2 linked regions of the Schizosaccharomyces pombe genome follow. The protein of the gene in region 1 interacts with the protein of each later gene in a biochemical or structural test. Each region holds a gene or a part of one and is shown in the gene's direction. Other genes may lie near its edges.

What was found. Proteins that work in one complex are often made in the same cells at the same time.
Region 2: of the proteins of sty1 (region 1) and pyp2, one has a biochemical effect on the other in vitro, tested with the Schizosaccharomyces pombe proteins (3 studies listed by BioGRID).

The regions. Positions count from the first base shown.
Region 1 is NC_003424.3:204,010-211,774, reverse strand, and holds sty1 (MAP kinase Sty1), read left to right. Parts: upstream 1-3,638; 5' UTR 3,639-3,861; coding exon 3,862-4,911; 3' UTR 4,912-5,299; downstream 5,300-7,765. Other genes in the region: SPOM_SPAC24B11.07C (oxidoreductase), read left to right, coding at 744-2,429; SPOM_SPAC24B11.05 (pyrimidine 5'-nucleotidase), read right to left, coding at 5,882-6,562. UniProt on the Schizosaccharomyces pombe protein: Proline-directed serine/threonine-protein kinase involved in a signal transduction pathway that is activated by changes in the osmolarity of the extracellular environment. Controls osmotic regulation of transcription of target genes.
Region 2 is NC_003424.3:5,199,017-5,206,529, forward strand, and holds pyp2 (protein tyrosine phosphatase Pyp2), read left to right. Parts: upstream 1-3,639; 5' UTR 3,640-3,806; coding exon 3,807-5,942; 3' UTR 5,943-6,186; downstream 6,187-7,513. Other genes in the region: Tf2-8 (retrotransposable element/transposon Tf2-type), read right to left, coding at 1-696; protein Emc10, read right to left, coding at 6,448-7,119. UniProt on the Schizosaccharomyces pombe protein: Plays a role in inhibiting the onset of mitosis. Dephosphorylates sty1/spc1 and wis1/spc2/sty2.

The DNA.
Region 1 (7,765 bases):
ACGCACTTTCTTTCCCTACATCTCAATTCATTTCTTTTAATGTTAAACTCGTCTTCTTTCTAATTAAACATACAAAGATAAAGATCTTTCTATCTGGTGTATTCAATTTTACAAGGACATATAGTATTAGATATATTCGCTTTCCGAACCTAAAGTATTGTCTTGATTCTATAGCATTTTAAATAAAAAGGAAATTAAAATGAATTGAATTGTCTTAAAGTATTAATAAAAATAAGTATTATTTGTAGTACGAGTGATCAAAATTTTTTTAGTTTTTTTTTAGTGCACTCCAAGGAAGATCGTGCCAAGCGGAATGGTATGAGTTGTCATATCCATACACGCTCTTCTACCATAAGCATAACCCCGAGACCGACAATCATACGTCTTAGAAGCCACAAGGAAAACCGATCGTTTCCATTGGAAACCAATTTCCCTTTTCCAAATACATACATTTACAATTAGCGCTCTTTTGTACGGTGTGATCCTATAGAAACGGTTTCGAAAAATAGCAAACCACAATTTGCTGCTTTGGATAAATCACTTTTAGAAAAGCTTTCGATTTACGTGTGAAAACGGTTTTAGTATAGTCGTTATTAGAGCTGCATGGAATCGTGGAGTTTATTAAAGATTTAACAAACGAATTCAACTCGAAAAAAGAAATCCAAAACCAACGATTGAGTTTTTTTTTTAAAGTGTAAATATAATTTTTTTTTAAGAAGAGTCATTTTTAATTTGCTACTGAAATGACTGACGCAGGAAAAAAGGAGCGTGTCAGCATTTTGTGTGTTGGTAGCCCTTCCATCACGACTTTATTAGGTTGGAGGTTACAGCAAAGCTCAGTTGTGACATGCCAAGAAACTATAATGTTTTTCAATGCCCCCGAGCCTTCTACTAACGTCTTCACTATTCAATCGAAAAAATTCGGAACTCGTAAATACCGTCCGACGTATCGTTTATCTAAGCTTGAAGAGGTTACCTCTGATTCTGAGCCTTTCGATTATGTATTTGTTTCAATCAAACCTAATTCTCGCAATTTTCAATTGTCCAACATATTAGAACCGGTGATCACTGCTAAGCATACGTGTATTGTTTATAACTCTACTGGTGCCATTGGGGTTGAAGAAGCTTTGCAACGCCAATATCCTGAAAACCCTATCTTTTCTCTCATTACTCATACACCTGTATCTCAACGTTCTGTAGATGAATTTTTCTTTGGAGACTGCGCTCCGTTTTACTTAGCTCCTGCTGGTTCCAATCTCGAAATTGACCAGCTTTCCAGGTTGGTTGAGATTTTGGAAGGTGGAGAAATTTCATCTGAAATATTGGATACATTGCTTCCCTTGGAAATTGAGGACCTCGCTTTACCCCTCTCTCTTTATCCATTAACTGTACTCACGCAAAATCCCAATTTGCCCAAGCTCTTAGAACGTCCCGATATCAATGACTTGCACCAAGGTATATTACAAGAGCTTGATAGCTTGTGTAACTGCCTTGGATCCTCCTTGGATGTAAAAAAACTTTCCAAGCAACGCGAAACATTACTTTCGCATATGCAGGTGAATCCGGCTTTTAGAGAATATAGATCAAACCGCCCTGTTGAAATTGTACAGTATTTACATTATTGTATTGATTTAGCTACTAAACAATCCCTCCAAGTTCCTCGTTTACGAACAATAAGTGCATTAATTTCGAGTATTCAACACCTTCCTCTCGTTCAACCACATCACATGAATGATATGCATGGGCCCACGGACAATTCACCTAAGAAAAACAAAGTTTTGGTTAATATGCGGCCTATTAATCCATCATCCTTCGTTTCTGATCGACATTCACCTTTACACCCATATTCTGTTCCCGAAAATGGTAAGCCAAATATGGGCAGAATTCCTTCTGCTCCGTCCCTTTCAAAAGGACGAGCAATGACTGCTGACAATATGGATATGTTGTCTCTTACAACTCGTCGCTCTAGACGTTCTTTGTATTCTCCTTCTTTGATGCAAATGCAACAGTCTTTAAAGAGTGATTATGAGGGCTTGGGTCGAACTTTTGATCCGCGTTTTGCTCCTCGAGGTTCACCTCCTGTTCGTGGTGGAAAAAACGTGTTATCCCCTGAAGCTAAAGAGCATACGCACAAGAATATATCACCTGAGTCATCAAGATTTGGTACGCCAAGTGATCCTAATTCGTCTTCTCAATCACTTGGAAATGAAGTATTGTCAAGACCAAATTCCAACTCTAATTCTGCGGAATCGCGAAACGGTGAAACTGATGACAGTGGTGAATCCGAAACGTATTTTACTCTCATGAACAACAATAAGGGAGTAGAACCTCGAGCTTCTGTGGCTTCTGAGACATCGTCAATGACGGTTATACCTAATGCGATGCGTCGCTTTCCGCTAGCTCGTGGAACTTCTCGCATGAAATCGTAGACCTCTCTTTCGGAGCCACAGTTTTCCTCATTCCTTTATCATTATAAAAGCATTGTCGTGTTAAACTTTTATTGATTTGAATTCTACTGACTCATTATTAAGCATTCTTTTGGGGATCACGTTATGTTTTTTTATTTTCTTCCGAACAATTTGCGCTAAGAATAACGCGTTAGCACTCATCGTATTGGGTTCATTTGCATCAAATTTATGAAGGCATAATTTCATTCTTTTTAATCTGGTCTATATTTTAAAAGTACTCTGTTTTTACCCCGTTTGGTTATCTCCGCCATGGAAGCAATTTGGTATAAGTCTATCATATATGTATATATATAACTTTTATTACATTTTGCATGTATCTTTGGCGAAGAATTCCATATAATACGTATCTTTAGTCTATCTGCTCACTGAGCCGTATGGTAATTTCGGCATCACATTCTTTTTTTTTTCGATTTTCCCTTCTTTTAATTTTTGTCCTTTTATTGAATTGATTTTTTATTGAAACATACATTTAACGTAGTATTGTGTCCTATTTCCTCGTAGACTTTAAATGGTATTTGTCCAAACTTTTTTAATTAAAAATTTTTTAATAAAGTAAAAGGAAAATTGAAATGGAAAATGACTTGTTGCACCTAATTATCCTTGGTTATTTCGTCCCAAAATGTGGAAGGTACAGACCCGATTAATGCCTAATCGTGAAACCATAATATTAACAACTCGCTAAGAAATCAAAACGCGGACGCTGGGCTAATAGAGGCAAACAAGCAAATTAACTACGAAATCGAGCATTATGGATCAAATGAAATGTCAGATCTATAATTGAACGGGTTTTTCAACAGTAACTGTTGTCAAAAGACAAATTGGGTTAGCTTACAAGACTTTTTCCTTGAAACACACATTTCAATAATGAATACTAGCTCAAATAGCTAAAAAAGTTGATCTAATAAAGCTGGCTTAACAACTTTACCAACTAACCCATCTCAGATCTGGACAACAAAGCCTTGGTAAGAGTAGAAGGAGTGGTCACTTTGGTGTTTATCGTCGTCAGTTGTTATCAAAAGTAGTAGTACTTTAAATTGTTTAATACATTTTAAAAACATCGTTAAACCGGCGGAACTTCATTCTTTGAGGTTCTGGATGCTGAAGCGCAAGTTCACTGTAGTGCGGTGTGCACTTAATCACAGCTACATACCTCCTTACCACAACTTAACCAGAGCACTTCATTGCTTATTACAAGCAAACACCACAATCTGTTTAACGGAATACGAGGTCCGATACCGACGATTGTTATCGTAATTATTATAAAGCTTGGCACTTCGCAGCGTTGTTGGGAACTTGTAAAAAGAAGAGAAAGTTACTTTTCGATATAGACGAAGGACGCTTAAATTTTTGAGATTATTGTTGAATAGTCCTTTTTGTAACCAGTTTGAATAAAATGGCAGAATTTATTCGTACACAAATATTCGGTACATGTTTTGAAATTACCACTAGATATAGCGACTTACAGCCGATTGGCATGGGCGCCTTTGGCCTCGTTTGTTCAGCGAAGGATCAGCTAACTGGAATGAATGTCGCTGTTAAGAAAATTATGAAACCCTTTAGTACTCCGGTACTGGCAAAACGTACCTATCGGGAATTAAAACTATTAAAGCATTTAAGGCATGAGAATATTATTAGCTTGAGCGATATTTTTATTTCTCCCTTTGAAGATATTTATTTTGTCACGGAGCTTCTGGGAACAGATCTTCATAGACTACTTACATCGCGACCTTTAGAGACGCAATTTATACAATACTTCTTATACCAAATCTTGCGAGGGCTCAAGTTTGTTCATTCTGCCGGTGTTATTCACCGTGATCTGAAACCCAGTAACATCTTAATTAACGAAAATTGCGATTTAAAAATCTGCGATTTCGGTTTGGCTCGTATTCAAGACCCTCAAATGACGGGCTATGTTTCTACTCGTTATTACCGTGCACCTGAGATTATGTTAACTTGGCAAAAGTACAACGTCGAAGTTGATATTTGGAGTGCGGGTTGTATTTTTGCTGAGATGATTGAAGGAAAACCCTTGTTTCCCGGCCGAGACCACGTTAACCAGTTTTCTATAATCACGGAATTGTTGGGAACGCCGCCTATGGAAGTAATTGAGACGATTTGCAGTAAAAACACACTTCGCTTTGTTCAATCATTGCCTCAAAAGGAGAAAGTTCCTTTTGCTGAAAAGTTCAAAAACGCCGATCCAGATGCTATTGATCTGTTAGAAAAAATGCTTGTCTTTGATCCTCGTAAGCGTATTAGTGCTGCTGATGCTTTGGCTCATAACTATCTTGCTCCATACCATGATCCTACTGATGAGCCTGTTGCTGATGAAGTTTTTGACTGGTCATTCCAAGATAATGATTTACCTGTGGAGACTTGGAAGGTCATGATGTACTCCGAGGTTTTGTCGTTTCACAACATGGATAATGAACTGCAATCCTAAACAAGTTGTAGATAAAGCCTTAAAAGTTGTTCTCGGGGTATGTTATGATTACTCTATTTTGTTCACGTGTATCATATTTATATCATCTCGGTTCCATGGAATTTTAGGCTTTTCTATTATTCTAATGGTCATCGGGTTTTTAATCCTCCGTTTAATTATAAATTACAATTGCGATTTTCAAGTGTGGTGTTTTTTCTCGCCACTCCTTTTCTAAAATATTTTGAAATTCAAATTTTTATCCTTTTTTTTCGGATATGGTAATGCGATGGCCCATGAAAATTATTTCCAACTTCCTCTTTCCAAGTAATGAACATATATACCTTCCTCTTCTTGTTTTGACTACAAATTCAGAAGTTGAATAAATCACCGAACTTCTCTTTTTGAAAGAAAAAAAAAAAAAAAAAAAAAAAAAAAAGCCATTATAATAGTTACCCATCTAGGTTTATAATGCTAATCTGTATGATTTAGTTTTTAAGTTCGTTAATGTAGTTACGGGTTTTATAATAAGTAGTGTATTTATTAATTTTTAACTTTTATTATTTATACAACAAGATTTTGGACATCTTGTGTACATGAAGTTAAATAAAAATCTTAAAAACGTTAAAAAAAATCATAGTCATCTAGGAATTACTTCATAAAACATAAAAACTTAGCAAATGCGAAGTGTATCTTCATAATCAAAAAAAGAGCTATGAATAAACAGTATCGTAAAAATAATTAAAAGGAAGAACAAATAATTTTTCCAATTAAAACTAGTTAGAGGTGATGGAGAAAGGAGAGGCTAAAACGTTAAAAGAGAAATTGGGCTCAAAACAGACGTGCTTGAAGCAACATAAATACAAAAAGGAGATTGACAGTGACAACAAATCTCCCGTTCTATGAAAAAGGGGATTAAAAAATGAAGAAGATGTTGATTAAAAATGCACGTTCAATTTCAAAAGTCGAAGCCTGATATAGAAAAGCTGGATGACTATTCGCCATCAATTTCATCTAGCAAGTGTTTGAATTTGTGAATATCACGAATAACATGCGATCCTGCTTGAGGTTGGGGAAGTGGATCACCATGTTCTACTAATTGAACAGTGTATTTCCAACCAAACTCCCGAGCACCCAAAATGTTACCATATGAGTCATCGACAAATATACATTTATCCTTGTCAGTAACGCCTGCTTCTCTCATTACACGCTCATACATTTCAGGCATGGGTTTAGCGATCAAATCCTTGGCATTGTAGTCGCAGTACGTTATACCGTCAAAGCAATCCTCAATACCAAGATATTTAAGGACACGATTAGCATGAACGATATATGCATTCGTAAAAATCCAGCACTTGTACTTTTTACGAAGTTCTAAAAGCATCTCACGCAAAACTTCGTCTTTCTTTATAACCTTCTCTAAGGGAAGAGACTGATCGACACGCTGATCATAATCCACAGCATCAATTTCATGATGGAGAACAAGACCACGAATTGCTATACCGTAATGCCGATAGTAAACTTCACGAAGGCGTTCTGCCTCCTCTGTAGGTATGCCAAGCTTATCAGAGAAAAATGCAGTAATACGAGCAGCCATCATGTTATGGATTTTGTAAGATTTAGGATACAAACAGTTATCCAAATCGAAAAAAATAATCTTCTGCTCAACAGTCATAATGGTTGTTAAAAAAAAGAACGGTCAGATGGAGTAAAAAATTTGAATAGAGAAAAAAAGAGAAACGTCAACAAAGAGAGGTGTATATCTAATAGCGTAGGAGAACAAACGATCAATGGACGCACACAAAAACAAATAGCAGAAGGAGTATTAAAATCCTAAAAACAAAAAAATAAAATAAAATAAAATTAAGTTGAAAAACTTAAGAAATGAGACTTTTTAAAGCAATTAACGACTCAACCCGGATATTTGTGGTTAATGTCCTGTGAATAAACGATCAATAGCCAGTATCACGATAAAAAGAAAGGAGGTATTCGAAGATTGATAAGATAATTACAGATGTTTACCTCGGGTTAATGGATCGAAACAAACTAGTATGATCGGGAAATAACGAATCGTGAATTAGTATTCAAAGACGTACAAAAATAAAAAGAAGAGAAGAAAACGGTAACAATTTTAAAAAAGTCGAGAAAAACGTATGAATTGTAAAAAGTGTGATTTGGACAGGGCAATTGATGTAAACAAACAAATCAATCACCACTTGATAAACAGAAAAGATATGGGAAAACTGGATCGTTTGAATTCCTTCTTCCAAAATTTTACGATTTATCGACGCTAATAAATGTAAAAAAAATCGTAAAAATCGTGCTTAAGTATTCAAATTTGACGTTGGTGAGTATGCGATACCAGCGTGATCAGGGTTAATGCGAATTTCCCTTCAAGCAGAAAAAACTATTAGAATAGGTACTTCTCTTATAAAATTGGAGCAGAGAATTACAATACTTTTGTAAAACTTGTGAACAAAGGATGCGTTGTTGTTAGGGAAGAAGAGGCTATCGATATATATATCATGAACGGAATCATTCATCATCTTCAGCGAGTAGAGTGTATTGTAACGATGGCGACCGAGTCTACCTATCTTTACCGGAGGTAAGCTTTTTACGCCCATATGTTAAACGAACACTAAATGCGAGATCATGGAACATAAGCTAGGTCAAACACTAAGATACTTTTTCATGGGTATTTGACGCACCGCCAAAAAGATAAGAACATTTGTATGAAGAATGACTTTTCAGTAAACAATTGGTGAATTTTGATATCATCTTGTTCAATGGTGAACAAGCTTGCTGTATCAACCGTAAAATCGCTTCGAAATTGTATTAGAAAGATCGAATATACCGCTTTAACTGTGTACCATGAGAA
Region 2 (7,513 bases), 5.0 Mb from region 1:
ATTTGTCTTCCTCAGGTTTCTGCTATTAGTGGTGTTATTTTTCTTTGAAAGGGACTCTTTTCCTAGATTTTTATTTTGCGGTTGAAAACGCTTGTGAGTTTTACCATACGAGGCTGTTCTTTTGTCCTCTAAAAAGTCATAAATTTCACTGATTTCTGATTTCCAGTAATTTCTTTCCTTTAATTTCCTTAAGGAATATGGCAGCATCCATAATATAAACAAGCGAGTATGGAAATCATCAACATTTGCTTTTGACATGAGTTTCCTTATAAATTGAACTTTGTCCAATTGATTTCTAAAACCTTCAAATGTTTTAGTTAAACGATCACCTTTGTTGGATCCTTGTACTTTCCCTGTTTGTCTGAGTAATTCTTGCCATGTAAGACTTCCATTCTCAGAAAACATGCGTTCAGCGAATTGTTGCTCTAATTCTTCTAGGTGATTCAATGTATACTGTCTTTTAGTATGCTCATTTGGGAATAATGAAGGGTATTCAGTAAAGTGTTGATCAAGTTTTGAAATGTAACTTTCAACATCCTTATTTGGATCGAATTTCCCTATCTCTGGTACATGCTTCGATAATATTTTTGCAAAAAGGTTTATTAAATGTTCGTCTGATGTTTGAATTCCATCCAAATTCTCTGGTCTCCATCGTTTTGCTCTTGCTTTCATATAACGATAATTTGCGTAGGACATTGTATATGTTTCCCTTTGGGAGATTTCAAAAGGGATAACAGTCCTTCCAAAGTTCCTTCTCCTTTGAACCCAGAAGGAGAGAAATATATATATTTATGATATATATTTATTCAATAATTCCTTTTTCCTAAAAGGAGTTAATTGTAGATCACAAGAGTTCAGTTATTGTAAGCTACGCAGTTTGGTATCTGATTTAAGGATACGTAGAACTGCGGTGAGTTTTCCTTGTGATCTATTATATTACAATACACAGGTTGTATAAGTAGCAACTGAGTATAGGTATTGTATTAACTGGGTTATAATGTTACCTATCACTAATATAGCTCATAACTGAACTGAGGAACGAGGTTCAGCAGTAGCTCTATTTATAGTATTCAGATAATATTGATCTTAATAGATTATCATTAAGATCAATCTCCATATCGTATCATACATGGTACGATATATAATTAGAACATGTGACATATAGTGATACTCAACGTAGTGTATTATAGCGTAGTGTAGTATTGCTGACAATAAGTGATATAGACATTCAATCGTTATAGCGTATTATTTTATTTTGTTTCGATTACTCACTGTTACATTATTTACGATTAAGTAATTCACTATTCTGAAGATACGTTCAATTACAGTAAGTTTTACTTGAAACCTGCTATATTGTGGTATAGAGGTAATCTGAGTAACACTGCTATTGATATTCTTGTATATATAAATGATATTGTGACTTATCATTGAAATTGCTTATGTATGAACCTCGTTCCTAAGTTTAGATGAACTCTACTTACGATTTTTAATGTAGAATTTAAATATCAGAAGAATCCTAAATTTTCTCGAATGCTACTTCTTTCATAATTATCAATTAATAAATCTTTAAGTAGTTTCCATCACATGACGCATAATGATTTTTAACGCAGTGCACCTTAACTTAGCTTAGGATTGCTGACATATTTCGAATTTTTTCTTTGGTTCATTTCATCTGTAATTATTTTGTTACCAAGAGAGCATGGGAAGCTTGCTGCAGCTACCAAATAAAAGCCTCTACAGAGCACCGTTGAAAAAGAGCACTTCTTCACCCATGAAGTAGTGAACTATAGAAAATGTCATCTGGCAACACGGTGTTAGTTGTTGACCGTTTTGCAAACAAAGATTAGAGAAAGCCAAGACAAAAAAAAAAGGTTCCCGACATGTAATGTATTGCAGTGTTTACCAATGTCAGTCCCGATCAACCCTTTTCTCGCTTGCCAAAAAAAGAAGAAAGAAAATGTTTCTTTTGCGTAGTGGCAAAACAAAAGAAAATCCACATTCTGTAAGGATTCTTCAAAGGATAACAAGTCCCCACTTTTGATTACCGAATGTGTAAATAAATTTTTTTCGCTCTTCACATGTCTATCTTGTTCAAATTGGCATGAGAAAATGTTAAAAGATGGGGTACAGAAGAGAATCTGGGGAAGCAGGCAGAAGAAGATAATTAAGACATATTATTGATGTGAACAAAACAAGGGGATTATTTGGATTCACCTGACGATTAGAAACACGCAGTACATGAGAGTACGTAAAGTACCACCGAGTCATTCACTTCCCTGCCCCCCTCTCCACTTTTCACAATAGCGCATGCCATAGCGACTCAATTTTCTAGTAACGTACGTATAGTCCACATTAAGACAATCTCCCGGCTTTGCAAAGTCTCTTTAATCCTGCATAGTGCTACACAGTACAACTAGTGTTAATTACGAGTTAGCCTTGGTTCGCTGCGGCCCTTTATTTTGCTGTGGCCCAAGAGAGGGCTTCTTCCATGCATTCGGCTTCACTAGATCCGGTCTTACTGTGCTCTAAGCGTCACTCGTCACATTATGCAATATTTCGTTAAATAGTACACCGTATTGCCATCTTACCTCTCGTTATATCTTAGAATAAACGGTCGCTTAGCAGAAAAGTATGGGGAAACCCCTTTAGGTAGCAGAGAATGACGTGACCGTGAAATTAGGTACATTAGTACCCGAACTTTGTTTTCGAGGAATTAAAGAAAAAAATCATCATCAACTTTATAAACTAAAAGAACTCATTTTTCAGCTTCAAAAAATTCCTTGGTTTAGCTCATTTCAATCTCCTTTTAGCCGTTGTTTTTGTTGCCTAAAATTTTTCCTCGTCTACGATCTTGACACGTCATGACTACATAATATTACATTGTATGTTACCTGGTCTCACTGCCCAGTGCCTGGTGCCAAAACCGAGGATCAGACGTAAATCGATCTACATCCTTCTTACATGTAAAATATATATATATATATATGAGGGCCTGGTGGTGAAATGTAGGAAAAACCAAGTTGTACCAATTTTAAGTGTACGAGATTTAGGGATCGCATGGAAGCCCTATTCTTCGTAGAAGAAAATTTTTGTTACGTGTTAAAGTTACTTCAACTTTACCCATCTTGTGTATATTACGTGAAGATTTCACCTATTTGACTCATTTACTAGTTGTTTATTTATTTATTCATATATATTCACTCATCTATCTTTTTTGCATTTTATATCCCAGCGCCACTTCGCGGACTTCTATTTATTTGACAAAAAGGAGCTTTTCTCTGTTCAACATCAATAGGCAATACAAAGGGAAAATCGAGTTGCAGTTTTTCCTTTTCATCACAAAAAAATTAACCACCATCATCCAAGAATACAAAACTTTTAATTTTGTTTATTTTCTGTTTATTAAAAATTTATTTATTTGCTTGTTTGATTTCGTCTCTTTCAATCAACAAGTTTCCTCATTCATCCTTGTTCACGTCGCCCAGGAGTTTCTTTGTCTTATATTTTTGACTCCTTGATTGAACTCGCAAAAAGTCAATAATTGTTATTTTTATACAGTTTCTTCTCTCTTACGTTTCCATTTTGTTTATATTCTTTTTTTCCGAAAGCACACTGTAAATAACTCAAAAAATTTCTCTTAACCCGCACACCTCTTCACACTCGCCTGCTATCTTTTTTTTCGTTTTAATTTGTGTGCCATTTTAAAAGTTTCCTGTATATATATTTTAGCTTGGCCAATCTTGTCTCTGTCCCTTTTACTTAGGATATAACATCTTCCAAGGTGTTTTCAAAAATTTTGTGCTACTATGCTCCATCTTCTGTCTAAAGACGAATTTAACTCTACTCTTAAGTCTTTTGAAGAACAAACCGAGAGCGTTTCTTGGATTATTGATTTGCGCCTGCACTCCAAATATGCTGTTAGCCATATAAAAAATGCCATCAACGTTTCTCTTCCAACTGCGTTGTTACGTCGTCCGTCTTTTGACATTGGAAAGGTTTTCGCCTGTATAAAATGCAACGTAAAAGTCTCGTTGGATGAAATTAATGCCATATTCCTATACGACTCTAGCATGGCTGGCATGAACCGTATTTATGATTTGGTACAGAAGTTTCGACGTGGTGGATATTCCAAAAAAATTTATTTATTAAGCAATGGATTTGAAGCCTTTGCTTCCTCTCATCCGGACGCCATTGTCTCTACCGAAATGGTCAAGGAGTCGGTCCCATACAAAATTGACATCAATGAGAATTGCAAGCTGGATATCCTTCATTTATCCGATCCATCTGCGGTTTCTACCCCTATTTCACCAGATTATAGCTTTCCATTGAGAGTTCCTATTAACATCCCACCACCTTTATGCACACCTTCGGTAGTCTCCGATACCTTTAGTGAGTTCGCGAGTCATGCGGAATACCCTGGATTTTCAGGTTTAACACCGTTTTCGATTCACTCTCCTACTGCTTCTTCTGTTCGTTCGTGCCAATCTATATATGGTTCACCCCTCTCTCCCCCAAATTCAGCTTTTCAAGCTGAAATGCCATATTTTCCAATCTCTCCCGCCATTTCTTGCGCATCTTCTTGTCCTAGTACGCCTGATGAACAGAAAAACTTTTTTATCGTAGGCAATGCCCCTCAGCAAACTCCTGCCAGGCCATCTCTACGATCGGTGCCTTCTTATCCCTCCTCGAATAATCAGAGACGGCCTTCTGCTTCTCGCGTTCGTAGCTTTAGCAACTATGTTAAATCCAGCAACGTCGTCAATCCAAGTTTGTCTCAAGCTTCCTTGGAAATTATTCCACGGAAGTCAATGAAACGTGATAGCAATGCACAGAATGATGGTACTAGTACGATGACAAGCAAACTTAAACCATCTGTTGGTTTATCAAACACACGAGATGCTCCAAAACCAGGCGGTCTAAGAAGAGCTAACAAACCGTGCTTTAATAAAGAGACCAAGGGAAGCATTTTCTCCAAGGAAAACAAAGGACCCTTTACTTGTAATCCCTGGGGTGCCAAAAAGGTTTCTCCTCCTCCTTGTGAGGTGCTTGCGGATTTAAATACTGCTTCTATTTTTTATAAGTTTAAAAGACTTGAGGAAATGGAAATGACTAGATCCCTAGCGTTTAATGACAGTAAATCTGATTGGTGCTGTTTAGCTTCCAGCCGCTCCACTTCCATTTCAAGAAAAAATCGTTACACAGATATCGTGCCCTACGATAAAACAAGAGTCCGTCTAGCCGTTCCAAAAGGATGTTCTGATTATATTAATGCTTCACATATAGACGTTGGAAATAAAAAATATATTGCCTGCCAGGCCCCTAAGCCGGGAACTCTTTTAGACTTTTGGGAAATGGTTTGGCATAACTCAGGAACAAATGGTGTTATCGTAATGCTCACAAATCTGTATGAGGCGGGAAGTGAGAAATGTTCTCAATATTGGCCAGATAACAAAGATCACGCATTATGCTTGGAAGGCGGATTACGCATATCTGTTCAAAAATATGAAACCTTTGAAGATTTGAAGGTCAACACTCATTTGTTTCGATTGGATAAACCTAATGGTCCTCCAAAGTATATACATCACTTTTGGGTGCACACGTGGTTTGACAAAACCCATCCAGATATTGAAAGCATCACGGGAATCATACGTTGTATTGATAAGGTTCCCAATGATGGACCAATGTTCGTTCACTGTTCAGCAGGCGTAGGACGCACTGGTACTTTTATTGCTGTAGACCAAATACTTCAGGTACCAAAAAACATTTTACCCAAGACGACCAATTTGGAAGATTCAAAAGATTTCATATTCAATTGTGTTAACTCGTTGAGATCACAACGGATGAAAATGGTTCAAAACTTTGAGCAATTCAAATTTCTCTACGACGTCGTGGATTATTTAAATAGCGGCGTTAACCAGGCTTCCAAGCCCTTGATGACTTAACGAAACGACTGTTCTTTAATTTTCTGTGTTTGTACACACTATGTTCTATTTATGTGAGATTGTGTAATTCCTCATTTTTTACATTATCTGACGCGAAGGTTATGTTAAAAATACTTAACCACACTCTCCGGTAATCATGTGTAATTCCTTCCTTATTGTTGTTAAAAATTGATTTTATCTCATGCGTGTAATGAATGTTTATATCTAGTTATTAATGAATCTTGTTTATGTTGGAATGGAATAATTGTTAAAGACTAAATTAGTTATGTGCACGTAGAAACTTCCTTCTTTTTTATTTTAACCTTTCCTATACGATATTTCATTACAAATGTTTGTATAGATTTTAAAGTACTATTAAGTATCGTACATCTGGCACATAGCAGTATTATTGAATGGAAATAGATGAATTAGAATATTTGTAAAGAGCACAGTAAGTAGTAGCAATAATCAAAAAATTATCGTAGCCGAGACGCAATTGTTTTAAGGCATATATATAATGACTCGTTTATTTCGCCGTATTTGCTGCCTGTTGATTTGCATTGTTACCAGACATAATTATCAGAAACAATATCGGGATGAGATATAAACCATATTTTTGGAAAAATGTCTTTTCCTCAGGTTCGGACTCTAATTCATCTTCGTCCACATTTGGAGATTCTTCGGTTTTAGAACCCTGTTTATTTCCTTGTTTTTCCTTCTGGGGTTTAGATGGACGTGATCCCTTTTTTCTGACAGCAGTAGTTAAAATTGGAATTGGAGAAGAAGGATGCAATTGCTCGACTACAGCACTTTCTGAGTCGGATGAAAAATCAAATGAGTGGACCACTTGAGTAAATTTTGCAATCTCATTGCTTTCTGATGAATCACAAAGTATGATATAGTGGTCTCTAGGTACTTTTGGAAGGGTTTTTATTTCATCAATTTTGTATTTGCTGGCGCCTGCAAGCCATGTGTTGGTAGAATCTTCGTATACTCCACATTGTACAAAATCAGAGTGAGAAAGATTACTCCAATCAATTTGTGAGTCCGAAGGACGAAATGTCATTTCTGGGATATCAATAGTACCATGTGGAAATATTTCTGTTTGCTCATTATGTGATACAGCGCAAGAAATAGGAATTTCTAATGCATGAGCAACAAAGGCTAAACTGATAAAAATCAAGCCTTGTCCTAGCATTTTTAGTAAATTTCGTAAAATCTATGAGATTAATAAAATATATTATCTTTTCCGGACGAAAATTACTTTTTGTATCTGAAAGTAGGAAGAGCGTAGTGTTTAGGTGTTAAGCTCGTCCATAATCATCAAGTGAAGCTATTTTGCTTAACTGTGACGAAGATAGCTCGCTGACATAAAAATAAACTAAATATTAGTAGTTATTGTTAGAAATATTCATGATTAAGGCTTTCAACGGATTATTTGCTAATTTTCCTTTTTCACATAAACCATTACTAGCCATACAACATTCGCTTCTTAAGTGAGAAAGAAAACATTTGGACCTTAGGATTTCTTCTTCCTAACTTTTTTCAATTACTTTACTGCTTTTTATAGCTCATTCCTCATCCATTAGCGC